Linked DNA regions of Macaca mulatta. The protein of the gene in region 1 interacts with the protein of each later gene in a pairwise test. Links are inferred from orthologs where the notes say so. Each region holds a gene or a part of one and is shown on either strand. Other genes may lie near its edges.

Region 1 (3,144 bases):
CAGTCTGCTGGGCTCCTCTGGGAAGTTTACTCTTTCCCCACTGGCCAGTCTGCTGGGCTCCTCTGGGAAGTTTACTCTATTGCCTCCAAGGTGCCCAAAGACTCGGTTCTGATCACAAGACTAATCGCCACGTATTTTAATTTCTTTTTACCCCTCTGCCTCCCACACTCGAAAGAGCAGGGACCTTGGTCTTATGTTATTCACTTCTGCCTCCCAAGCCCCTGCCAACCTACAGGGCAAAGTCTGATGTTTTGAAATTATATGATCGAAGAAGGAAACTCTGGGATTGGAAAGCCAGTGTGTAAAGGAAAACTGGATCCCAGAGTGGATGGGAGAGAGTGAGGGGGGGCGCCTAAGTCCAACCCCCACCCCCACCTTTCCCCCGCCCCACCTGCTCCCTTGCAGACTCCCCCCCCCGCCCCCCCGCTTTCTCCCCCTCAACCCCCACGGGCCTCACCCCTGCTGACCTTGCCTCCTGCCCCCTTTTTCTCCCTCCTTCAGCTTAAGATCTCCTTCAGCGAGACAGCCCTGGAGACCACGTACCAATACCCCTCCGAGAGTTCGGTACTGGAGGAGCTGGGCCCGGAGCCTGAGGTCCCCAGTGCCCCCAACCCCCCAGCAGCCCAACCCGACGACGAAGAGGATGAGGAAGAGCTGCTGCTGCTGCAGCCAGAGCTCCAGGGCGGGCTGCGCACCAAGGCCCTGATTGTGGGTAAGCGGAGGCTCCGCCGGCTCGAGAGCGCCCCCTGCTGTCAGAGCTGGCGCTGCGGTCCAGGAGAGAAGAGGAGGGAGGATTGCATGTAGGCGCTTGGAAGGGGCTTGGTGGTCCTCTGGTCCAACCTGCTCCTTCAATAGATGGGCAAACTGAGGTCCCGGGCAGTGAAGTACACATTGAGTCTTCAAGTTTCAAAACGAGAACTCTTCCTGAGTACCGTAATCTGGTCAAAACCACAGGGTGGGTCGACAGGCCTGAGTTGGAATTGCAGCTTGTCTCTTAATTGTGTGATCTCAGGGAAACCATCCGATATCTGGCTTTAGTTTATTATTTATGAAATGAAGTTAATAATAACTACCTCCTGTGGCTCATGCCTGTAATCCCAGCACTTCGGGAAGCCAAGACGGGTGGATCGCTTGAGCCCAGGAGTTCAAGACCACCCTGGGCAACATGGCAAAATCCTGTCTCTACAAAAAAATACAAAAATTATCCCGGTGTGGGCCAGGCACGGTGGCTCACGCCTGTAATCCCAGCACTTTGAGAGGCCGAGGCGGGCGGATCATGAAGTCAGGAGACTGAGACCATCCTGGCTAACACGGTGAAACTCCATCTCTACTAAAAATAAAAAAAAATTAGCCGGGCGTGGTGGTGGGCACCTGTAGTCCCAGCTACTTGGGAGGCTGAGGCAGGAGAATGGTGTGAACCTGGGAGGCGGAGCTTGCAGTGAGCCGAGATCACCCCACTGCACTCCAGCCTGGACAACAGAGCGAGACTCCATCTCTAAAAAAAATAAATAAATAAAAATAAAAGAATTAGCCAGGCGTGGCAGTGCAAAGCTGTGGTTCCAGCTACTTGGGAGGCTGAGGTGGGAGGATCGTTTGACCTCAGAAGTTGGAGGCTGCAGTGAGCCGATATTGCACCACCCACTGCACTCCAGCCTGGGCAATAGAGGAAGACCCTGTCTCGAAAGAAACAAACAGGCCAGACACGGTGGCTCACGCCTGTAATTCCAGCACTTTGGGAGGCTGAGGCAGGTGGATCACTCAAGGTCAGAAGTTCAAGACCGGCCTGGCCAACATAGTGAAAACCCATCTCTACTAAAAATACAAAAATTAGCTAGGCATGGAGGTGGACACCTGCAATCCCTGCTACTCGGGAGTCTGAGGCAGGAGAATCACTTGAAGCTGGGAAGCAGAGGTTGCAGTGAGCGGAAATGATGCCACTGCACTCCAGCCTGGGCTACAGAGTGAAATTCCGTCTCAAAAAAACAGAAACCAAAAACTACCTCCTAGAGTTGTAGAAAAGATTAAGTAATTTATTTTATTTAATTAATTAATTTATTTATTTATTTTGAGATAGCGTCTCCCTCTGTCGCCCAGACTGGAGTGCAGTGGCACAATCTTGGCTCACTGCAACCTCTGCCTCCCAAGTTCAAGCGATTCTCATGCCTCAGTCTCTCAAGTAGCTGGGATTACAGATGTGTACCATCACACCTGGCTAGTTTTTATATTTTTAGTAGAGACAGGGTTCCCCCATGTTGGCCAGGCTGGTCTTGAACTCCTGACTTCAAGTGATCCTCCCGCCTCAGCCTCCTAAATTGCTCAGATTACAGGGGCTCCAGGCCAAGATTAAGTAGTTTTTGTGAAGCACCAAGAGCCACAGCTGGATATCAAATTACTTAATCTCTCCTGGAGTTATGGTGACATTAAACAGTTATGAGGATGCTTGGCACAAAATCCGAGCTAAATGAGTGATGGATGTGGTTACTGATGGTAACGTGCTTTAGATGTGGAAGATATTATAGGACTTCCTGCATGCCAACTGCCCTTCAATTTGTGTGTGGGGGAAGGGTGGGCAGAAGGCAGAGGCTCTCACTCATTCTCTGTCATTATTGCCCCCTCTCCCACAGATGAGTCCTGCCGGCGGTGACCATCTTCAACATAGGGATATACCTCCTTCCTTCTTATAACTGAAGATCCTGGATCCCGGAAGATTCAGGGCAGCAGACCCTGATAATGAGCCTGGCAGGGAAGGGCAACAACCAACATCTTGTAACTTGCTTTCCCCACCCTGTTTCTGGGGGCAGAGCCAATTGCCCAATTTCTACCCTAATCCAAAGTCCCTGGTGTGGGTGGGGTTAAACGTGCTGGTACATCCTGGGTGATCTAAGAGTGAGCGCCAAGTGCTGAGAAGGAGCACAGAACTCCCTGGAGGGTGGAGATGGAGCACCTGCCCTCCATGGCAGGGTACACTCTCCCCACAGCCTTCCTCCCCACCATCCCGTGGGGACTCTTGGGATTTAAGCACTCATGTCTCTCGAGGCCCAGAGCCCACTCCATTTATAGGCACATCTCCCTCATTTCCTAGGTCACTGCCCCTTTGTTTACAGCTCCTGCCTCCTCCTTGACCACAGCCTGGTTTACAAATTC
Region 2 (4,210 bases), on another chromosome or scaffold:
ATTTTAAATATATATATGTATACTCACGATTCATCTAAATCTTCTACAAATCCTTTACAGACGACCATATCAAGTAAAACAACTGGAAAAAAAAAAAAAGACAAAACGTACACAATAAATGCTGATTATTTGGCTCATACTGTATAAGCTTAGTCATCTTTGAGGTGTTTTTGACCTTTTACAACCTACCAAAAAATTCATCACTGATACATCCCAGGGTGCAAATGATGCAAAAGCAAAAGTAGTTCATCCATTTAATAAATAGTCTGTATGCAACCACATGGTGACCGGCCAAGTTCTAGGTAAGCCAATAAAGCTAATATACACAGTTCCTTTTTCCTCATTTTCACTCTCATCTTACTTCTCCTTTTTACCATTCCATCTTTTTGGAATATAGACAGCATTCTTCTATACTTCTTTTGCTTTAATAGCAATTATCTCTTCAGTAAAAACTCCAAATGTCATTCAAAATATTTACCCCCAAATAGAAAGAAAGTCGAGCTGTAACTCTAATACTTATTACACGGCCGTGTCTGACACAGAGTGGATTCTAAAAGGTTAAGTGAGCGGACCCCAGTGAGAATGAGGGCACTCCGTGCTGACGGGAGGCAGCTGAGAACCGCTGACACACACTCAGGTCCTTTTCACACCGCACAATCCCGGCGGCCTGACCCTGATCTGTCCTCGACCACCCTCTCTGAGCACTGGTGGTAAAAACCCTTAAACATAACAAGACTCGGAACCTAAAGTCAAGACAAGATCTGGTCGTTAAGGTGGGACGGCGGCATCCTTCTTGCCCATCAAAGGAGTAAGCTTTACTGAAACTTCCTGCCACAATGAGAAAAACACAAACACAAGGCAGCGCGCCCTTCCCACGTCCAGCACTGGTCCCGCACAGCAGCGGCGGAAGGACCCTCAGGTGTCCGCTCCTTCACGGCCAGGCAGGGCGGTGGGGCGGGGACGGCAGGACGCTGCCGGGGACCGGGTGGGCATCTCCGCGGGCCCCGCAGGCCTCGCCCCAGACCCGAGCCCAATCCCGGCCCCACGGCGGGGCCAGGTTCCGACCGCTGCGCGCCCATTACCTGTGGCGCAGAGCCGCAGAGCGGCCCAACTCCTCCACGCTGCCATGCCAGCCAGGGAGAGCTGCAGAAGCTGACTCTGTGCAAAAGAGGGATAAAGACACTGGGGTTCGCTGCCTGCCCGCCCGGAAAGGGAAGCAGACCCCACCCGGAGCGGAAGAGAAGCACCGCGCTCAATACGGGGGCGGGACTAGCCGGCCTCGTTAACCTCCCAGCACCCGGCTGGTCTCTAATTCTGGCTATGAGGGGGAGTACGGCGCCTGCGCGAGGAGGGTAGCGCCTGCGCAGTCGTGTTCTTAAGAATGCTTTGCGCCCCCGGCGCCCCGCCCAGCCCAGGAGCGTGGGAACCCTGCTTAAGGGCTTTACTAGGGACAACGGTGGTTGTTCACTGGGGCGAGTTTCTGGGAAGGTGAGTACCGGTGAAAGTTACGCTGAGGGTGAGGTAGGCTCCGACGACGCAGTTGCAGGTTGAATATTGGCACATCATTTACTTGCTACTCCCATGCAGTAAATGCACCTGTGGGTTTTGATGCTGGATCAAATTCCTGGAAAGAGGCGCGCATTAAGACTGTGGATTGCTGAGCTGCGCGACACTCCGTATTTTTCCAAAACGTACTTGTAATATTCTTTCAACCTGTTTGCATAATGGGACATCTCTTAAATGCAGCAAGCTTTAATGCATTTTTGCCAAAGTAAGGATTGCCTCTTTAAAAACTTTCTCTTGAAACTTGAGAACATGAAGTTAAGCGTAGGATATTTTTTGATGACTCTTTTCTGATTATTTTGGGACTAAATAAATAGTATGAAATATTTATATTGCTACCTGTTTTTTCTTCTACACGACAATGATTTGTAAAAACCATATACTTTCATGAGACGGTTACTGCAGCAGTCACTACTTCCGAATTAGATGAAATTTTTATGGGACATAAGGTACCAGAGAATTTAGATCAAACCAAATTTTGAAAACCTATGACAGCAGAAGGGGGATATGATGTCAGCCGGTTCACCTTAGGTTCAAAATTCCAACAGGCCGAAATGTTATAAAACGTTGTTATTCCTAGTGACTGGAAGATTAAATTGCACTGTAATTGAGAGCAAGCCCTAAATGTCACCCCCTTTGTGCATACAGCATGCACAAACGCGAGCCCTCTGCAGATTCAATTTTTCTTTTTGTTTCTCTTTTCTTTTCTTTCTTTTTTTTTTTTTTTTGAAAAAAGTAGACTAAAACGTAAGAGGACAGTTGAAGTGATGGTAATGTTCTCGCGGTGGTGGAACAGCTTTATAATAGTACCATCGCCTCGATACTCTTATACAGAAGCTTTTCTACTTTCTTGGCAAGGTCTCTGAATGACCCATATTCAATTTTTTTTTCATTCTAATGTATTTCAAATTTTTCTGTCTTCCACATCATGCAAAATAAAATAATATCTTTTTATATTTGCGTTACAGTTTAAGTTCACATGTGGAGAACAACGAAAACAGGTTGACCTAGATTTGTGCTCTTCAGTAGTGTAGCCACTAACCATATGTCGCTATTGAGCTTTCGAAATGTGCCTAGTGTGATGAAGTAACTGAATATTTAATTTTAATCTCAGTAAACTCAAAAACTGGCACTTGATTCAGCTATTGGAAAGTTTTTTTAATATGGTTGGAACAACTGAGGTATGTGAATCTACTTTTTCAACTGTAAACTTTATGAAATCTAAATACTGATCAAGTCCCAGGCGTCGGTGGCTCATGCCTGTTATCCCAGCACTTTGGGAGGCTGAGGCAGGAGGATTGCTTGAGGTGAGGAGACTGAGACCAGCCTGGTCAACACAGGGAGACCCCATCTGTACAAAAAATTAAAAAATTAGCCGGATGTGGCCTGGCGCGGTGGCTCACGGCTGTAATCCCAGCACTTTGGGAGGCTGAGGCGGATGGATCACTAGGTCAAGAGATTATGACCATCCTGGCTAACACAGTGAAACCCCATCTCTACTAAGAATACAGAGAATTAGCCAGGCGTGGTGGCAGGCGCCTGTGGTCCCAGCTACTTGGGAGGCTGAGACAGAAGAACGCATGAACCCAGGAGACCGAGCTTGCAGTGAGCCGAGATTGCACCTCTGCACTCCAGCCTGGGCGGCAGAGGGAGATTGTTTCCAAAAAAAAATATCAGCTGGATGTGGTGGCACACACCTGTGGTCCCAGCTACTCCAGAGGCTGAGGTGGGAGGATAAGTTGGGCCAGGGAAGTTGAGGTTGCAGTGAGCTGGGATCCTGCCACTGCCTTCCAGCCTGGCAACAGAGCAAGACCATGTCTCTATAAAATAAATATCAATTAAATATTTCTGATGAAATTAGAGAGGTTGTAACGAGATATACTATAAATGTAAAATATACACTGGATCACTGGATTGGGAAGACAATATAAAACTGTAAAATGTCTCAATATTTTTGTACTGATAATATGTTATAATGATTATAGCTTAGATATGAGTTAATTAAATTATTAAAATTAATCTCACATGTTTTTATTTTTAAGTGTAGCTACTAGAAAATTTATAATTACATATGTGGTTTTGCATTATATTTCCGTTGCACATCACTGATCTAGGCAACGTGAAAATGATCAAAATAATGCATTAATCTGAAAATGATTTAATAAACCAATAAACTTTTTAGGCTTTTTGTTCAGAGAACATGCTAAATTTCCACATGCTAAAACATATTCTGCGGTGAAAATTTTAAGTGTTTTTTTCTGCTTATCTACCTCAAGTGGTGATTTTTTTTTTGAGATTTAAAAGATTCTACTATTTTGACAATATTTTTAAAAAGACTTTCAGATAAGCTACACTTGTACAGGTATATATATATATACCTTGTGTATTTTGCATACATATTGCTGTAGTCTAAATGTGTAACCCAAATTTCATATGTTGAAACTTAATTGCCAATATGATAACATTAAGAGGTGGGGCCATTTGGGCATGATTTAATCATGAGGTGGGACCCTCATGAATGTGATTAGAGACCTTATAAAAGAGATTGAAGGGATTGTCTTAGACCCCTTTTCCCCTTCAACTTTAAGCCATGTGAAAACACAACAAGAAGGTACCATCCTGGAAGCAGAGAGCAAACCCTTATCAG
Region 3 (4,046 bases), on another chromosome or scaffold:
GAAAAAAAGACAGCGAGAGGAGGAAAACAGACTGGGGCTAAAGCCCTGGTCTTCCCTAACTGTGAGTTCACACGCCCCTTCCCAAGGGCCAAACCTAGGAGCGTGGGTTCAAGCCAGAGGGAATGTAAATGTCATGCACTGCGAAGAACCCAGGAAGAGCTAGAGGGATGAGAAAGTTGACTCATATGTTAAACAGGGTGACCTTTGCTGAGTTCTTAGTTTCTCTATGCTTTGGTCCCCTCATTTGTAAAGTAGGGATTATAATAGCATCGATTATTAATATGCTACTAGACAGTTCATGTAAAGTGCCCAGAAAAGGCCAGGCACCTACTAAATGCTCAATAAGTGTTCAATTCTATTCTTGAGTCCCCACCACATGCCAGGCCCTCTGCCAAAGCCCTTCTAGATTTTATCTCATTTTCTCTCTAGGAAAGAGGTAACACCAACCCCATTTTCCAGAGGAAGAAACCGAGGCCCAAGAGAAGTTGAGTCCATTGCCCCAAGTGCCGCCACTTGTCTGAGGCCAAGCCTTAGTTACCCCTTGGATCTACCCAGTCCTGCAGCCTGTGCTCAGTGAGCTGCTGCACCCAGCTGTTCAAGGCCAGGGCAGGGAGCCTAGAAGGTCACTTCCAGCCCTGGGAGGGAGGCTGGGCCAGTCCCAGTGGCTTCTGCAGTTGAGGATCTCTTCCTATGTCATGGAGCATTTGTTGAGCACCCACTATGTGCAGGTGTTGTGGCTACAACAGTAGACAAATAAACCCCAGGACGTGTGTGTGTGTGTGTGTACACATGTGTGCTTCACATACACAGAGCTAACTCAGCCCTGGTGAGGAGGATCACTCTACCCACCCACCCCCCATTTTACCAGTAGGGAAACTGAGGTTCTGAGAGAACAGACTTGCCCACAGATGTGCAGCTGGACTCTGCACCCAGGTCTATGTGACACACGCATATGGTTTGATCCAGCTCATAGCCATTCCCTCACTGCCCACCCTGCCTGGTTTACCCCATCCCTTCATGTCTCAGCCCCCGGCCATGGGCTCCAATGATGCCAGCCTCGCCTTAGGGATGCAGGGAGGAGAGAGACCTGGTCCCCAGGGTGGGCTGGGAGACCGGAGATGCAGCAGGCGGGATCGATCTGGGCTGCCCACGCATTATTGGATTGTTCCTGGCTCCTGGGCCCCCCTTCACTCTCAGCTCCTCCCAGAATCCTCTCTTCTTTGCCCTCCCCCGCCCTGTCCTTTTCTGAGTCCAGCCTGGGAGGCTGGAGAGGAGAGGAGGAAAGGGTGATCTCAGAGTGTCCTTCTCTGGGCTCCTAAGCCAATTGGACACAAAAAGACAGCCGGGGGGACTTCCTGGTCTGAAAGATGGGGGGAAGAAACTCAGAGACCCTTACGTTGTTGCCCCCTCCTGAAGCTTCCTGCTGTTCCCCGCTGGCCCTAACTCTAGGTGCTCTGAGTGAATTCCCTCCCCTCTGCAGAGCCCAGGAGGCTGAGGACCTGGGGTCACCCCTCTTCCTTCCTCATTCTTCTCACTGGTGAGCTGAACCCTCTTGTCTCCCCAGTGTACCTCTGGGAGCAGCCTGAGGAGACAAGGCTGGGGATGCCGGTCAGCTTGGAGGAGCAAATACTCAACTCCACATTCGAAGCTTGTGACCCTCAGAGGACAGGTGGTGGGGCAGGAGGGGTGCTAGGGACCAGCGCGGGCGGGAGAGGGGTGGAGGCTGGGAACTGGGGAGCCTCAGGGAGAAGACTGGGCTAGGGCCCCTCTTGGGGGTATTGCAGGAACAAAGTAGGTGATTTTGGGAAGCTTCAGGAAGAAGAAAGTGGATAACAGAGTGAAGGCCTTTTAGAATGAGGAAAACCTGGGGGACATTGATGGAAGAGGGTAGAGTTTTGGGGTCGTGGGATGGGGGAGGGAGGCAGCCACCATGGTGGAGTGGGGCATGGCTGGTGCTGTCCCCATGTCCATCCCCTTTGGTTCACCTTGTGATAGGGGGATGACTGGGCCCCATTTCCAGGTGAAAAAGTAGACTCAGAGGAGGGGAAAGGGCTTGCCCAGTGTGTCTCCACTGGGCTATGGAGCAGGAGTGCCACCAGCCTAGCCAGTGACATCCTGCTCCCAAGCTGCTGCCAGTCCATACCCACCACTCCCCACTTGCCCCAGACCCCCTCACTGCATGCTCTGTCCCAGGCACTGTGGCTGTGACCCAGGTGCTGGCCTACCTGGAGGCGGTGACAGGCCAGGGCCCCCAGGATGCACGCCTCCAAACATTGGCCAACAGCCTGGACCCCAATGGGGAGGGCCCTAACGCCACTGTGGACTTGGACACTTTCCTGGTTGTCATGCGTGATTGGATTGCTGCCTGTCAACTACACGGGTGAGTCCCCACACCTTCATTCTCCTCTGGGAAGTCCTTCCTAAGATCTAACCTCATACCTGCTTACTGGAGCCAGCATCCTTTAGGCCCAAGGACCTACTGTGTTTGGAACGAGGCTGTGGAGAGAAAAATGAAGAGATGGGATTCAGAGGGGGTAGATAGGGAGTCTGAGGACAAAATAATTTGGATGAGGAGGCAGAGGGGGTCTGGGAGACAAATAAAATGGGGCTGGAGAAGGGAGGGGCTTGGGGCTGGCAGAGGTCCCTCGCCATCCCTTCACCCAACCCACTCCTTGCCCCTCCTGCTTTTCCATCTGGCCGCAGGCACTTGCCATCTGGCCTCACCCTCCTACCCTGTGGTGCCAGCTTTCACCTGACCCGGTCCCCTCCTCCCACCTGCAATCCCCCTGCCTGTGGCTGGTGAGGACTGAGGGGCGGCTACAGTGGGGCTCTAAGCCTCATCCCTTTGATACAGGGGATTAGAGCTGGAAGAGGAGACCGCCTTCGAGGGAGCCCTGACCTCCCAGCAACTGCCATCTGGTGAGATTGCTATATATAGAATGAAGCAGGCAGGCCCTGGGTCAGACAGTGTGGGAACTTACCACTCAGGGCAGAGCAAGGGATAGGGTGGGAACCAGGGACCTTTACTGTAGCCTAGAGCTGTGAGTGTGACTTTCTAGGTCCTCCGTCCCTTCCTTCCCTGAGCTTTGGGGTTTTTTTCTTCAGAGGATGGTTTCCAACTCTTCCTCCTCACACCAGCCCTATCAGAGAGGCCTACAAGGCCCCACCTACCTCTGCTCCATCATCATTAACATCACCCCCTCCTCACTCTAGTCCAGGCATTCGCAGGCCCACTGGTCTTGCTGCCCTTCCTCGAATGTGCCCCACTTCTGCCCAGCACAGGCCCTTGCTCAGGCTGTTCCCCTCCATTCCTCACTCCCCAACCCCCTAGCCTTTTTTTTTTTTTTTTTTTTTTTGAGATAGAGTTTCGCTCTTGTTGCCCAGGCTGGAGTGCAATGACGCGATCTCAGCTCACCGCCACCTCCGCCTCCTGGGTTCAAGCGATTCTCCTGCCTCAGCCTTCCGAGTAGCTAGGATTACAGGCATGCGCCACCACGCCCAGCTAATTTTGTATTTTTCATAGAGACGAGGTTTCTCCATGTTGGTCAGGCTGGTCTCGAACTCCCAACCTCAGGTGATCCACCTGCCTCAGCCTCCCAAAGTGCTGGGATTACAGGCGTGAGCCACCGCTCCAGGCCGTTATCCTTCACACCTCTGGCAAAGGGGAAGCCCTGGTATGCCCCTGGCTAGAGTTCCCTGCTTCCCATGCTCACTCCTAGACTTGTAGGCCTTTCCATTGGAACATCTACCTGCAAAGGAAATCTGATTATCTAGTTAGCCACCGGTGCCTGGGTTTAGTTGGCTGGTTTGCTCACCATTATATCCCCAGGACCTCACACATAGGAGGTGCTTCATAAAAAAGTGGTCATGGACCGGGTGCGGTGGCTCACTCCTGTAATCCCAGCACTTTGGGAGGCCGAGGCGGGCAGATCACGAGGTCAGGAGATTGAGACCATCCTGGCTAACATGGTGAAACCCCGTCTCTACTAAAAATACAAAAAATTAGCCAGGTGAGGTGGCGGGGCCTGTAGTCCCAGCTTCTCAGG
Region 4 (4,072 bases), on another chromosome or scaffold:
GCTCCTAGGGATGGGGGCTGGGCAGAGGACCCAGCACCACTGCCCGCCCCCACCACCGCCTTCCCCGTCACTCACCGATGATCATGGAGAAGACACGGGCCGGCTCCTTGCCCGTGACCTTCTTGTACAGCTGTGGGTAATAGAGTTCCAGGCTCTCGAGGAAGGCCACGTAGCCCTTGTGGCCGGTCCGCTGCAGGATGTCCAAGAGCACGCCTGCGGGCCAGAGGGGCCTAACTGGGGGCGGGGCACAGGCGAGGCAGAGGGCTGGGGTGGGTGGGCCCGGGGGCAGGGACAGGTGGAGGCTGGGATGCAGATGAGGTGTGCTGTGGTTTGGGTCGTGGATGAGGCACCCTGTGGGTCTTGGTACTAGGCTGGGGACAAAGTGCTGTCCACCCATCCCTTGGCTGTCTCAGGAGCCCCCGCTGTGGTGGGAGTCCCACTGCCCCTCTTGGCAGCACCGAGCTGGCAGGAGAGGCTGGGGGATAGGGTGGCCATGTGCCAGGGTTGAGGTTGGGCCTCACTGGGAGGCCAGGGGCAAAGCCAGGCGGGGCTCTCCTGGGGTCGAGGGTCAGGGTGGCAGAGCGTGCAGCCACCTCCAAGCGGGCTCCTTGGTTGGGTTTGGGACCTGGGGCCTGCGGGGCAGCACTGACCCACTTTCCGTTTGCGGATGACCAAGTTGGGGTCACTGAGCACCTGCTCCTCATCGTCGGGGTTCAGGACCTTGCACTGCCGCAGGTAGGGCGTGATGCGCGAGGGGTCGATGACCGACGTGAGCATCACCCGGAAGCCCTCCAGGACGCTCCAGCACTCATCATCGTTCTCGTAGTCCGACATGGCCTCGCAGGCAGGCTGGGGGGTGTGGGGCAGCCGCTGAGAGTGACGCCGGCTCCTGCCCCCACCCAGGCCCGGCTCCCGCTCCTTCTCAGACGCTGGGCCAGGGCTCTCGTCAGGGCTGTCGAGGGGGTCAGCCCAGGGGCATCCAGGAGAGGTACCCAGCTCCATGTCCCATCCCCATGCTGGATCCCCCAGGGAGGCGGCAGAGACACAGTGACCCGCTCCCCGCCAGACCAGCCGAGGGCCCCTCCACAGCCTTTCCCAGCCCCTGCTCCTGCCCCTTGGCCATCCGTGTCACCCAGATATGCAGCGGGGGAGACACAGATGGGGTCTGAGAGAGGAACTGCCTCCACGGCATGACTCGCCTCTGGCCTCCGCCTCCTGGACACTCCCACCACGCCCTGGAGCCTACAGGGGCAGCCACCTCCATGGGTGGAGGAGCTGTGGGCACCTGCCTGGCACTACGGCCAGCCCAAGCTGGGTGAGAGCAGGTTGGCCAATGACCCTCCCACTAGGGCAGCAGCTGGGGGAGCCGGTTCTGGCGGAACTTCCCCATTTCCCTGACCGACGCCTGCTCACATCCCGCGCTGTGCCCTCCCTCCTCCATGGCCGGCTGTTGATGATGCAAGAGTGGCCACCCAGCCCTGCCCCAGCTGCCAGGGTCGCTGCACTGGCCGGGAAGAGCTGCCCACAGGAGCGTGCCTCTGTCACTCCCCGCCGGCCCCGCAAGCTGGGAGGGGCTGTCGGTGTTGCCCTTGGCTGGCCAGGAGTGCTGCTGTGCTGTTTTCTCCAGGTTCTTAGGTGACGGGCACCCGTCAATCTCTGGACTCTTCTCCTGCCCCCGATGAGGCCCGACCCCCATCCCACTGGCTGAAACAAGAGAACTACCCATGTTGGGACCAGCCCAGCCACTGCTGTCCCTTTCTGCCAGCACGGTGGAAGCCTCAGCCGCTGAAAGCCACTCCCTCTGGGACTGGGGCAAGGCTGGGAACAGCCACATGGTCCTGCCTCCCACGCAGGTCCCCGGTCCTCAGCCTCCAGCCCCACTGGGAAATGCTGGTTTCCTGCCTAAAGGAGCTGGGTCACTACTCCTGGAGACACTTGGTCTTTTGAAGTGTTTGGTCTTGGTCTTTTGAAGAATTTCTCAACTTCCCACTGTACTTTGTCACCCCATTCAGGACAGTTTTGACAGACAAGGGGCTGAATAGAAACACCGGCCACACAGCGGACAGTCCTGGGAACACTGGGCCCCTTTCCTGCCTCCCCAGCCTGAAATGCAGGGTCCCACCTGCCACCGTAATGCCACTGAAATGAACATGTCTCCGCCCAGTGGCCATGAAAGGGATGGGGCAGCGCGGCGGAGGCTGCCTGGCTGCCTGTGGGAAGCCTCATGCTGCTCTGCGGGGATCAGCGCCAGGATTCTGAACGAAGCCGGCGCCGACCTTCTTGGTCACTTTTCAGAAAAGTACCAGACCCACCCACCTGAGGGTCTTCCAAGGAGCCACCTGCACGGCAGACGCACCAGGAGCCTGGGACGCGGAGCCTCGGGGAGATGCTGCCTGGGGCTGCAGGGAGGGAGGAGCGTGCCGGACGCCTGTGCACTTCCTGATGGCTTAACTCCACAGTCCCGCCAGTCCTCCCACAGGGGGACAGTCCCTGGTGGCCTGCCTTCTGATTCGTGCAGCCCAGGAGGCCCCGAGAGGCAGACGGAAGTGGAAGTCCTCTGCCCTCCACAGGAAAACTGCTCTCAGCCCTCCCAGCCTGGCCGGGGGCCAGGGGTCCTGAGAATGCCCCAGAGGCCCAGCCCGGGCACCTGGCAAGTAGAAGAGACAGCAGAGACCCCCAGGAGGCTGGACGAGGCCAGACCGCACCCAGCCGCTTTGACCTGGTCATAGGTTTCTGGAGGCTTCTTCAGGAGGGCATGCTCTGCCCTGTGCGGACACCCTTGCCCTCGCCGGCATCTCAGGACAGCGGGGCAGGGCATGTGCAGGGGGCACACAGCCACACAGCATGCCCAGCACACGCCTTGGTCATGAAAGGGCTGCAGCCCACCTTATGGAGCCCAGGAGGCCACTGCAGCCTGCCAGGGGCCATGGCACCGGCCACCACCCAGCTGCACACGGGGGAGAAGCGTCCCTTTCAGAAGTGTCGCTCGGTATCATTATCCTTGTCACGAGGCATCCTTGCTCTTCTCCAGGATGCACGTGAGGACTGAGGCCACTCCCAGGGTCCCCCAAACCAGCTTCAGAAGCACCGGTGATGGCAGGGCACAGCCCGCCCCCCATCCACAGACAACGGGCAGCAGGGTCTGCCCTGAACTATGCACTTCAGCGTGGGGCTGCTGGAGCCTCATCCCTGCAGGCTGGGGAGCCCCCAGGCCCCGCCTCACCGGTAAAGCTGGTCGAACCGAGTTGCCACCCAACAGCTTCGAGAAGGGGGCTGCCAGGCTGGAAGGCCAGGAAGCTGGTGCGGAGCTCGCCTAACCGTTCCCAGCCCCCGGCCCTCAGGCCTGACATCACGCAGTGAGGAGTGGAGTTAGGGGTCCTCTGGGGCTCTTGGGAATGCCACACTCCAGGCTGGGCCCCTCACCAGCAGCATGAGCGAGTGTGCAGGCAGGAACGCCGTCCTGGGCCCTGCTGGGGAGTGGGCCCGAGCTGGCACCAGGCCCTCATGACCCAGTGATTCCCCAGCTTGTAAAACGAGGGACCCCAGTGATTTCCCTGTGGTGTCCGTCCTTAGGAATTAACACACATACCATGTTCTCTAACCATGTCGGAAGCTAAAAATCAGTAACAGGTATCTGGAAAATCCCTAAATATTTGGAAATTAAATAATATACCACTAAATAACCCACAGGTCAGAGTGGCCACCAGGAGACTAGGCACCAGTTGCTAGAGAACCAGGCACAGCAACACATGCTCAGGAGCGCGGCCGGCCATGGGACCGTCCTGTCTGCCGGGTGCCGAGGGCTGAGGCCCCACGGTGCTTCCAGTGAGGGAGTGAAACCCAGAGAGCAAAGGGCCTGGGGGCGCTGCTGCCACAGAGACGAAGGAAAGGGAGTGAGGGGACAGACGGAGAAGATGGGGGCTGGTCTTATGCCAAGAAAGGCCCACGCAAAAGGACAGTGAAAGTTGTGGGGGCTGCCATCGTGTCTGGGTAGCCAGGTCACCTGTTCCAGGGAACCCCCTGGGTCAGCTGGGGCGGTGCGAGGGCTGGCAGCCATCTGGGGAGGGTGCCG
Region 5 (4,243 bases), on another chromosome or scaffold:
TCTTTCTTTCTTTCTTTCTTTCTTTTTTTTTTTGAGACAGAGTCTCACTGTTTCACCCAGGCTGGAATGCTGTGGTGCAATCTCAGCTCACTGTAACCTCTGCCTCCTGGATTCAAGCAATTCTCATGCCTCAGCCTCCTGAGTAGTTGGGATTATAGTGCATGCACCACCATACCTGGCTAACATTTTTTTTTTTTTTTTTTTGTATTTTAAGTAGAGACGGGGTTTGGCCATGTTGGCCAGGCTGGTCTCAAACTCCTGACTTCAAGTGATCCACCCACCTCGGCCTCTAAAAGTGCTGGGATTACAGGTGTGAGCCACTGCACCCAGCCACCCACGACACTTTATAATGAGAAAGACTGACAATTTCCTCTTGAAAAACCAAATAGATTAGAAAACTAATAGAAATGATAACACAGTATAAAACAGATAGTAAAAAGATACAATGTGAGGAATATACAAGAAAGATATTTAAAACAGACTGTTAAAAATCATAAGTAAATCATATTAGTTAAAACAGTATATTAAAAGTAGGGGAAAATCAATCACTTCAGCTAAAAGGTTATCTCTCCAAGAAGACTGAGTGACTGTGTCCCAGGGCCCAATCCCCAACCCTCACACTTGCAGCAGGCATAAAAGGGGAAGGACCTTCAGACAAAGGCACCTTTCCACCTTCAAGCTGCATTCCACAGAGGTTCCTAGATTTCTTGAGGTCATTTTCAAGGCAGAGAGATGTCCTAACTAGAGCTTTAGCTTGGCCCTGATTTTTTTGTTTGCTTATTGTTTACCCTTGGGGACAACAGCAAGTACAAAATCTGATTCCAGTTTTTCCCAGCTCAAAACCTTCACACACGCTTTCACTTGTTCCCGAATCAACACCTCACAGGCCTTGCTTTGGCAAAGGGCTCCTGATCCCAGCTTCCTGGCATCTGCCTCCTTTCCTCCCCCCATTACCACCACCTGTCTCAGTGCACTCCCAGGATGGGAGCGGACATGGACTGTATTTCTCAGTCTACACTGCACATTTCCTAGGCAGAGAGTAGGGCCGTCTTGGTCCTTGATGCAAGAACAGATCTAGCTCCACCCTGACATGTAAACTGGATTTCCTGGTATCTCCTTAAACAGGCCTTCAGTAGCCAGGTGGTCATGTCGAGCCCGAGTGTCGGTGTATCTTAAGTTTGTCTGGGCCTCTGTTTCCTTAACTCTAAAGTGAAGAGTTAGAACACAGATTGTATTTAAACACCCTGGTTGGGAGCTGCAGTGCCCTGAATTCCTCCTCTTACTCCACCCCCTCAATACCGACACACAGCCGACACTCAATAAAAGTTTGTTGAATTGACAAAAATAAATTTGTGGCTTCTTGCCCAGTACTTGGCACTTAGAGGCCCTCAATAAATGACTATCGAGTTTATGTTTCATCTCCCCAGCACATTTGTGACATTCTTGAGGGCGGGAACCATGTACTCAATAGGGCCCTGATGATAGAAAAGGAAATCAGCTTGGTCCCTGTTCTCAAGAAGTTCACAGTTTAGTGTGGGAGACTAAGACAACAAGTCGCCGATTCAACAGATATTTTTCCAACGTCCTTATGTATTGGGTGGAAAAGGTGAGGCAAGAGCTGTATTTCCCAGACTCCTGAATGGGTTGCGAGATGATTGACTCCTGAGGGACACCGTCTCACCTTTTCATTGGTTGTCGCTGGCCCTGTCGTCTATCACCCAACCAACCCCGAACACCTCTTGTAAGCCCCACCTCCGGGTCAGCCAATTAGAGGTGCCGGGGGCCAGGGCGCTGCTGGGTCACTGACGCGGTTTCGATTCCAGTGAAAAATGCTCGGGTTCGGACTGTCCCGTGACAGGCGGTGCGAGCAGGCCAGGCCCTCGCCCGCCGAGCCCTAGGACCGCTGCTGCCGACTGCCATGGAAGACGAGCAGCCCGACAGCTTAGAGGGCTGGGTGCCTGTCCGGGAGGGCCTCTTCGCCGAGCCCGAGAGGCACCGGCTGCGCTTCCTGGTGGCTTGGAACGAAGCGGAGGGCAAGTTCGCTGTGACTTGTCACGACCGCACCGCGCAGCAGCGACGGCGGCGCGAGGGGGCCCGGCTGGGGCCCGAGCCCGAGCCCAAGCCCGAGGCAGCCGTGTCCCCGCCCAGCTGGGCAGGCCTGCTCTCGGCCGCAGGGCTCCGCGGCGCGCACCGGCAGCTGGCGGCGCTGTGGCCGCCTCTGGAGCGCTGCTTCCCGCGGCTGCCGCCGGAGTTGGATGTGGGCGGCGGCGGCGGGGCCTGGGGTCTGGGGCTCGGGCTGTGGGCTTTGCTGTGGCCGGCGCGCGCGGACCCCGGCGAGGCGGCGCTGCAGGAGCTGTGCGGGCAGCTGGAGCGCTACCTGGGCGCGGCGGCCGACGGCTGCGGCGGCGCCACAGTGCGCGACGCGCTCTTCCCGGCTGAGGGCGGCGCGGCCGACTGCGAGAGCCCGTGCGAGTTCCGGGAGCGGGCCTTGCGCGCGCGGTGGGTCGAGGTGGACGCGCGGCTGCGCCAGGTAAGAGAGGCCGGGCCGCCGGCGTTCGTCCCCGCTTCCATGGCCTGGGACCCTGTGGGAGGCTCCCCCGGCGCCGAGAGCCCTGGCTGACGGCTGACGGGGAGGAGCCGGCGGGCGGAGAAGGCCGTGGGCTCCCCGGTGCCCTCACCTGCGCGGGACCGCTGCGGGAAACCGGCGGTAGCTCCGGGAGGGCCTGCAGAGAGGACAAGCGAAGTTAGAGCCTAGTGTACTTGCAGCTGGGAGCTGGGCTAGGCCCCCAACCTTTGCCCTGAAGATGCTGGCAGAGCAGGATGTTGCAACGGGAAATGCCAGAAATATGCAAGCAAAACTGAAAACAACCCATCCATGTAGGAAAGAATAACACGGACTAAATGTAAGCAATTCTAAGTCTGTGTATGAGGGAACGTCGCGAATGGGATAGAAGAAATGGCTTTTAGGAGATAGAGTGTTTTGTTTTAAGTAATATATACTTAGTCAAATGGAAAGCCAGCAGAAAGTGAACTTTATTCATCAGTTTGGAATAACCGCATTAGTGCCCTTTTAAGCTTGAAAGAGGTAGTTTGAGAGAGAGTAATTATTTGAGTGGTAAACCTACTGAACCTAAGGGGATGGGGAAGTACAAGTTCATAGAAGGGTTTAGGAGAAAATATGGCTTCTAAATCCACACTCACAGTTTACTAAGGAGAGTCAGGCTGGAGTCTCGGCTCACTGCTGTTATTAACCTGAATGGTTTTTTTCTGTGCATTCTTTTGAGGAAGGGGAGGTGAAGAGAAGAATTCAGCCTAAGCTAAATATAGAATAAGCTTTCTAAATTAAAATGATTTTATAAAAGGAGCTCGTTAGTGGGGTCATTTTTGTACTGTGGGTTTTATGTGTAAATATCTACACACCCACTTCTCATGTGTTGATTTCACTTTATGAGGAAGCCACAGGGGAGTTTCAGGCCAGTCAGCGTTTGATCTTCAACTTTATCATTTTCACCTTAGGATATGAGGTGAAAAATGGTATCATTTTGAATCAGACTTGTTTTTTACCCACTCGGTTTCTCACAGAGATAGGTGGTTTCTCCTTAAAATCGAACATTTATATGATGTATTTTACTGTAGTTACTATCAGAAAAGTTATAGTTTTCCCAAATTTAAGTTCACTCTGGGGTACTATAGCATGAATGTAGTTCATACTGTTGAGCTAGCTGTTCACATTAGTGTAGTTCACGTATTTATTTGGAACTTAAAAATGAGGGGTTGGGAGGGGAAGAAGCTTCAATTCAAAACATGTCCAAATATATAATTTTAATATTTATATTTAGAATAGAAAAGCAATTGATTCTAGAATTAGATCAATTGCTAGTATTGCTAGGATATATAAAATGAAGCTGAATGTTTTAACTCTGAAAGTTTTCTGAGTAGTCTAAGAAATAAGGCTGAAATGCATCACTTGCCTTAAGTTTACTTTTGCGTGTGTCTTAATTTTGTGCAGCGAGGCTTTCACTTAAAAAAAAATAATAATAATATTATTACCTGGATAAAAAACTACAGCTGAAAGTAGATCACTTTCTCCTTAAGCAGAAGGATGGAAATAGAAGAATTTAAGAATGTATTAGTTGAAAAAAATCTATATTATTTGATTTTATTTCTCTTCTTGCGGGAGTAAAATAATTTACTACCAAGTGAGTCCACCTAGATTATACACTGTTCAGTTTATTTTCTGCCT
Region 6 (4,036 bases), about 100 Mb from region 1:
TCCATCTTTGGCAACTGGGAGCTCTTTCAGGTGGTTCCTGTGTTTAAACATTCTCCCATCAAGACAGGATTCGTTTATTTTTATTTTTTATTTTTTTTCTTCTCATTCAATTGAGGCAGCGTCTCATTCTGTCGCCCAGGCTGGAGTGCAGTGGCGCGATCTCGGCTCACTGCATCCTTGGCCTCCCGGCCTCAAGTGATCCTCCCACCTTAGCCTCCCGCGTAGCTGGGCTCACAGCGCGTGCCACCACGCCCAGTTAATTTTTTTTTATTTTTTGTAGAGATAGGCTTTCACCATATTGCTCTGGCTGGTCTCAAATTTCTGGGCTCAAGAGATCCGCCCCCTTCGGCCTCCCAAAGTGTTAGGATTACGGGCATGAGCTACCGCGCCCGGCCCGATTTTTCCTTTCTTGAGTATCACTTCCTTACTTTTCAGCCTCAGCCTTGTTTTTCAAGGTGCTTTACCATCACCTGACACAATCCACACTTTATGTTTATCTCTCCCCGTTAAAGTGCCGGGACCTGGAGGGAGGGTCTTGGCAGTGTTTTTGAGCGCGGTGTTATCCTGGGAATACAAGGGGCCGCTCAGTTGATATCCAGGGAATGATGAGCCTGGCGGGTGTTGAGGCCGACTGGAGATGGGTTGGCCGGCCGGGTTCTGGGAAGGCTGTGCTCGGCCTCTGTGTGACCGCAGGCTCCTCGCCCGCCTCCTCGAGGGTCCCGCGGATGCAGGACCTGCTGCAGCCTCCGCAGCCACACCCACGCTCAGAGACCGCTTCCAGCGTCCTTGCCGCAGAAACGCACCGGACTGCAAATGTCACCGGCGCAGCGGGGATTCCCGGGGAAAGTCCATCGCACTCCCTGACCTGGGGACCAGAGGATGAGCGGAGGAAGTGTCTTGGGCGGCTAACATCCCACTCCCTGCGCCGGTCTGCGCCGCCCCCGGGAACGCCCCGGGGCTCGCGGGAGGGGCTGGAGCGAGTCCCCGGCTCCGGGCGGTCCCGAGCGCACGGACTCCGGGTGGGGCGGGAACCCGTGCTCTGTGAGCCGGCTGCTGCCGCGCCCCGGCGCTGTCATCCCGGGGCGGGGCCTGGTCCCCAGCTGTGGTAGCTTCCTAAGCGGCGGGGGCTGAGCCGGCGGCGCCCAGATGCGGCCGCGGCGGCGCGGAGCTCGGGCGGCTGTGGAGGAGCCCAGCCTCGGCCGCAGGAGGCGCCGGGAGCAGAGCCGCCGGGAGTCGCGCAACAGGTTTCCTTCCCCATCGCGGCGCCCACAGGGGACGCGCGCCCTGCGGGGAGAGAGGCTTCTCAGTTCGCGCTCTCGTTCCGGGTCCAGGTTTGTTTTTCTCTCCCTGAGCCCCCATTTCTCTTTCTGACCCCCCATTTCTCTTCCTGACCCCCCATTTCTCTTCCTGACTATTCCCCGTGCGCTGAGAGATCCGGGAGGCGGGCGGGGGCACTGTCTGGGCTCGGGACCCGCGGCTGCGCCTTAGTTGGGATTTTGGATCTGGCGCAGGTCCTCACGCCGCCTCTGGGCACCTTCGGAAACACAGGATTGGGTTCCTCATATAAAGCGGAATGATTTTTTAAAATTACTTTTAATTTCAGAGGCTGAGGGATTTAGGATTTAGTGCTTCACAGGAATTATTTTAGGGATACCTGTCGGTAGGCTGCCTTTTTAAAGTGTCCACCTAAGACTATTTTATTTTAAATCGAAAGACTGAAGTGTTTTTGTGTTATCACCTCTTCACTTCCTATTAGGGTGACTGTGTCAAAAACACCAGAATGGGTACTTCTTGACTTGAACTTGGCAGTGTCACTCAGTAGCCAAGAAAGACGGAGAAATTGATAGAGCCTTGGAGCAGTCCCTTCGCAGCCCACGTAAGACTTTGTTTTAGAAAAATGGAGAGAAGTAGTGGCAATGCCTGCGAGAACCACGCCGTCCTGAGAGGGAATTCTGCCTTTTTCTAGACTCCGCTGACACCAGCTGAGATCTGTATTACTTCCTGTGGTTCTCACGCGCTTGTTTCAGCCGTTTCTCAGCAAAGGGAGGAGCTGTTATTTACAGGTATCCAAAAATGAGTCACAGGGCTGCTCTCTTAATTGTGAGACTTTGTTAATGAACTTTTGAAAAGCGAGGCTTGCTCTGTCTGTATTTAAAATGAGACTGTAGATGTGAAATGCCTGCCCTGCTGACCTGGGGCAGTGGTATGGGAAGTGACGATTGAGTTTTCAGTTTCCTAAGGCGCCTGATGTTACAACATGCCAGTAAAGGTCACTGGGTTGATTTAAGATAACCACTAAAATCATGTGCTTTGCCTCAGAAGCCCAGGAGAAAATTAATTTCATTATTCAATGACCATTTTGCTACCATTTTCACTGAATAGTAGAAATGTATCATTTAATGTGGTGATTGTAACTCTCTAAAATCAAAATATTTCAGACAGTGTGTGTTTACTAAATTGATGCCAAAACCACATGGTGCTTTTTGAAGCGGGTGGGTCCCAGCGGGAGCAGAGAAATTTAAAAGTTGAAGCTGACAGGCCCCACTGTGGTGGGTAGCAGCACCTAGGAAGGGACTGCACACTATCTCAACACGGTAGAGAAGGGAGCACCATCTCTACTGGAGCTGAGTTGAGCTGAATTCAGTCCCAAACAACAGTTAACAGGTACTTTCTCTGTGCCAGCCTCTTCCCTGAACCTTGCTTGTACAACCATGAATAATAGGATCCTGCTGACAAGGTGCTAGGGTAAATCTATACCCAGAGTGAAGTTTCTGTCCCAATATAACTCAATCTGCTGGGTTCCAGTGTATTTAAAGAGTAAACTCAGCAGATTACCATCCCTAGATCATTGCAGTCACCTTTAGTTAGCAGCGTGACTTTTAGGAAATGGTATGACTAATTAATAGGTTGTTTTGTTTTGTTTTTTGAGACAGAGTCTTACTCTCTTGCCCCACACGGGAGTGTAGTGGTGCAATCTTGGCTCACTGCAACCTCCTCCTCCTGCGTTCAAGCAATTCTCGTGTTTCAGCCTTCCAAGTAGCTGGGACTACAGGCACCCACAACACCCAGCTGACTTTTGTATTTGTAGTAGGGACAAGTTTGGCCCTGTTGACCAGGCTGGTCTCGAACTACTGACCTCAGGTGATCTGCTTGCCTTGGCCTCCCAAAGTGCTGGTATTGCAGATGTGAGCCACCATGCCCTGCCTAATACTTTATAAATTTGTAACACTATATTGAAGCAAGTTTTTGATCATTGTTTTTGTAGTTCAAATCAATGTTTTTTAGCACATTATAGCCTTGTGAGCCAAAATGAATAAATCTACCATATCACAGTTTACTGTTACAATTGAAATCTGCTGAGACACTTTTGAACTTGATGCCCAAGTATCAAGGTTTCCAAGTTTCCACAGTTTGCTAAGATATCCAACTAATAAAGGCAACACTGCTAAATTTCAGACAACTTTACCTTAATTTCCAAACTTTATTCCTCCTTTGAAAGCCCTGAAGTTACTTTTTCTATGACAAAGGGTTGAGTGTGTCATTCAGCATTGTACTCCCTGAACTTGTCCCAGGCTCGACTCATGAGAAGTGTTGGAAAGTGTCATTCAGCATTGTACTCCCTGAACTTGTCCCAGGCTCGACTCATGAGAAGTGTTGGAAAGTGTTTATTGATGAAATAATGAACCTTCATGTAGGAGGATGAATTGGCAGGCAAGTGGAAGGCTCAGTGACCCAGCAGAAGGAACAGCACCCATAGAGAAGTGAAACAGCACTGGACATTCAGGAAACTCCAGCCTGTTTAGTGACAGCACAGAGCGAGGGCTGGGGAGACAGGAAGGGCCAGATCACAAAGGCCCCATGAGGGTTTATAGTACTGAGCCCTTTGAACAAGTGAATGATATTGTCAGGTGTGTGTTTAAAAAATTATAACAAAAATTGGAATTTAAAAAATCTTAGATTAGATGACAGTGGCATTGACTTTAGGGAGACACCTTGGAAACTGTTGTCATATTGCAGATGGGACATTAAAGAAGGC

Evidence for each region. The genes of interacting proteins can lie anywhere in the genome.
Region 2: the proteins of PPP1R18 (region 1) and CCDC102B interact in binary tests that used the Homo sapiens proteins (3 or more experiments, as listed by UniProt). The two-hybrid records come from large-scale screens. The link is inferred for Macaca mulatta from reciprocal best matches to the Homo sapiens genes PPP1R18 and CCDC102B.
Region 3: the proteins of PPP1R18 (region 1) and KASH5 interact in binary tests that used the Homo sapiens proteins (3 or more experiments, as listed by UniProt). The two-hybrid records come from large-scale screens. The link is inferred for Macaca mulatta from reciprocal best matches to the Homo sapiens genes PPP1R18 and KASH5.
Region 4: the proteins of PPP1R18 (region 1) and CARD9 interact in binary tests that used the Homo sapiens proteins (3 or more experiments, as listed by UniProt). The two-hybrid records come from large-scale screens. The link is inferred for Macaca mulatta from reciprocal best matches to the Homo sapiens genes PPP1R18 and CARD9.
Region 5: the proteins of PPP1R18 (region 1) and FSD2 interact in binary tests that used the Homo sapiens proteins (3 or more experiments, as listed by UniProt). The two-hybrid records come from large-scale screens. The link is inferred for Macaca mulatta from reciprocal best matches to the Homo sapiens genes PPP1R18 and FSD2.
Region 6: the proteins of PPP1R18 (region 1) and STX11 interact in binary tests that used the Homo sapiens proteins (3 or more experiments, as listed by UniProt). The two-hybrid records come from large-scale screens. The link is inferred for Macaca mulatta from reciprocal best matches to the Homo sapiens genes PPP1R18 and STX11.

The regions. Positions count from the first base shown.
Region 1 is NC_133409.1:152,366,911-152,370,054, forward strand, and holds the end of PPP1R18 (phostensin), read left to right. Parts: intron 1-501; coding exon 502-712; intron 713-2,624; coding exon 2,625-2,644; downstream 2,645-3,144.
Region 2 is NC_133423.1:11,949,062-11,953,271, reverse strand, and holds the start of CCDC102B (coiled-coil domain-containing protein 102B), read left to right. Parts: upstream 1-1,410; 5' UTR 1,411-1,488; intron 1,489-4,210. UniProt on the Homo sapiens protein: During interphase, forms fibers at the proximal ends of centrioles to maintain centrosome cohesion. During mitosis, dissociates from the centrosome following phosphorylation to allow centrosome separation. Contributes to CROCC/rootletin filament formation.
Region 3 is NC_133424.1:61,819,352-61,823,397, forward strand, and holds the start of KASH5 (protein KASH5), read left to right. Parts: upstream 1-1,246; 5' UTR 1,247-1,367; coding exon 1,368-1,449; intron 1,450-1,564; coding exon 1,565-1,669; intron 1,670-2,193; coding exon 2,194-2,380; intron 2,381-2,854; coding exon 2,855-2,919; intron 2,920-4,046. UniProt on the Homo sapiens protein: As a component of the LINC (LInker of Nucleoskeleton and Cytoskeleton) complex, involved in the connection between the nuclear lamina and the cytoskeleton.
Region 4 is NC_133420.1:6,136,435-6,140,506, reverse strand, and holds the start of CARD9 (caspase recruitment domain-containing protein 9), read right to left. Parts: upstream 2,801-4,072; 5' UTR 2,728-2,800; coding exon 2,317-2,727; intron 1,805-2,316; exon of another isoform or gene 1,723-1,804; intron 1,151-1,722; exon of another isoform or gene 1,003-1,150; coding exon of another isoform or gene 850-1,002; coding exon 651-849; intron 214-650; coding exon 76-213; intron 1-75. UniProt on the Homo sapiens protein: Adapter protein that plays a key role in innate immune response against fungi by forming signaling complexes downstream of C-type lectin receptors.
Region 5 is NC_133412.1:73,933,326-73,937,568, reverse strand, and holds the start of FSD2 (fibronectin type III and SPRY domain-containing protein 2), read right to left. Parts: upstream 2,801-4,243; 5' UTR 2,531-2,800; coding exon of another isoform or gene 1,919-2,530; 5' UTR 1,682-1,918; intron 1,350-1,681; exon of another isoform or gene 41-1,349; intron 1-40. Other genes in the region: WHAMM (WASP homolog-associated protein with actin, membranes and microtubules), read left to right, coding at 1,919-2,530.
Region 6 is NC_133409.1:49,411,134-49,415,169, forward strand, and holds the start of STX11 (syntaxin-11), read left to right. Parts: upstream 1-1,236; 5' UTR 1,237-1,331; intron 1,332-1,756; exon of another isoform or gene 1,757-2,063; intron 2,064-4,036. UniProt on the Homo sapiens protein: SNARE that acts to regulate protein transport between late endosomes and the trans-Golgi network.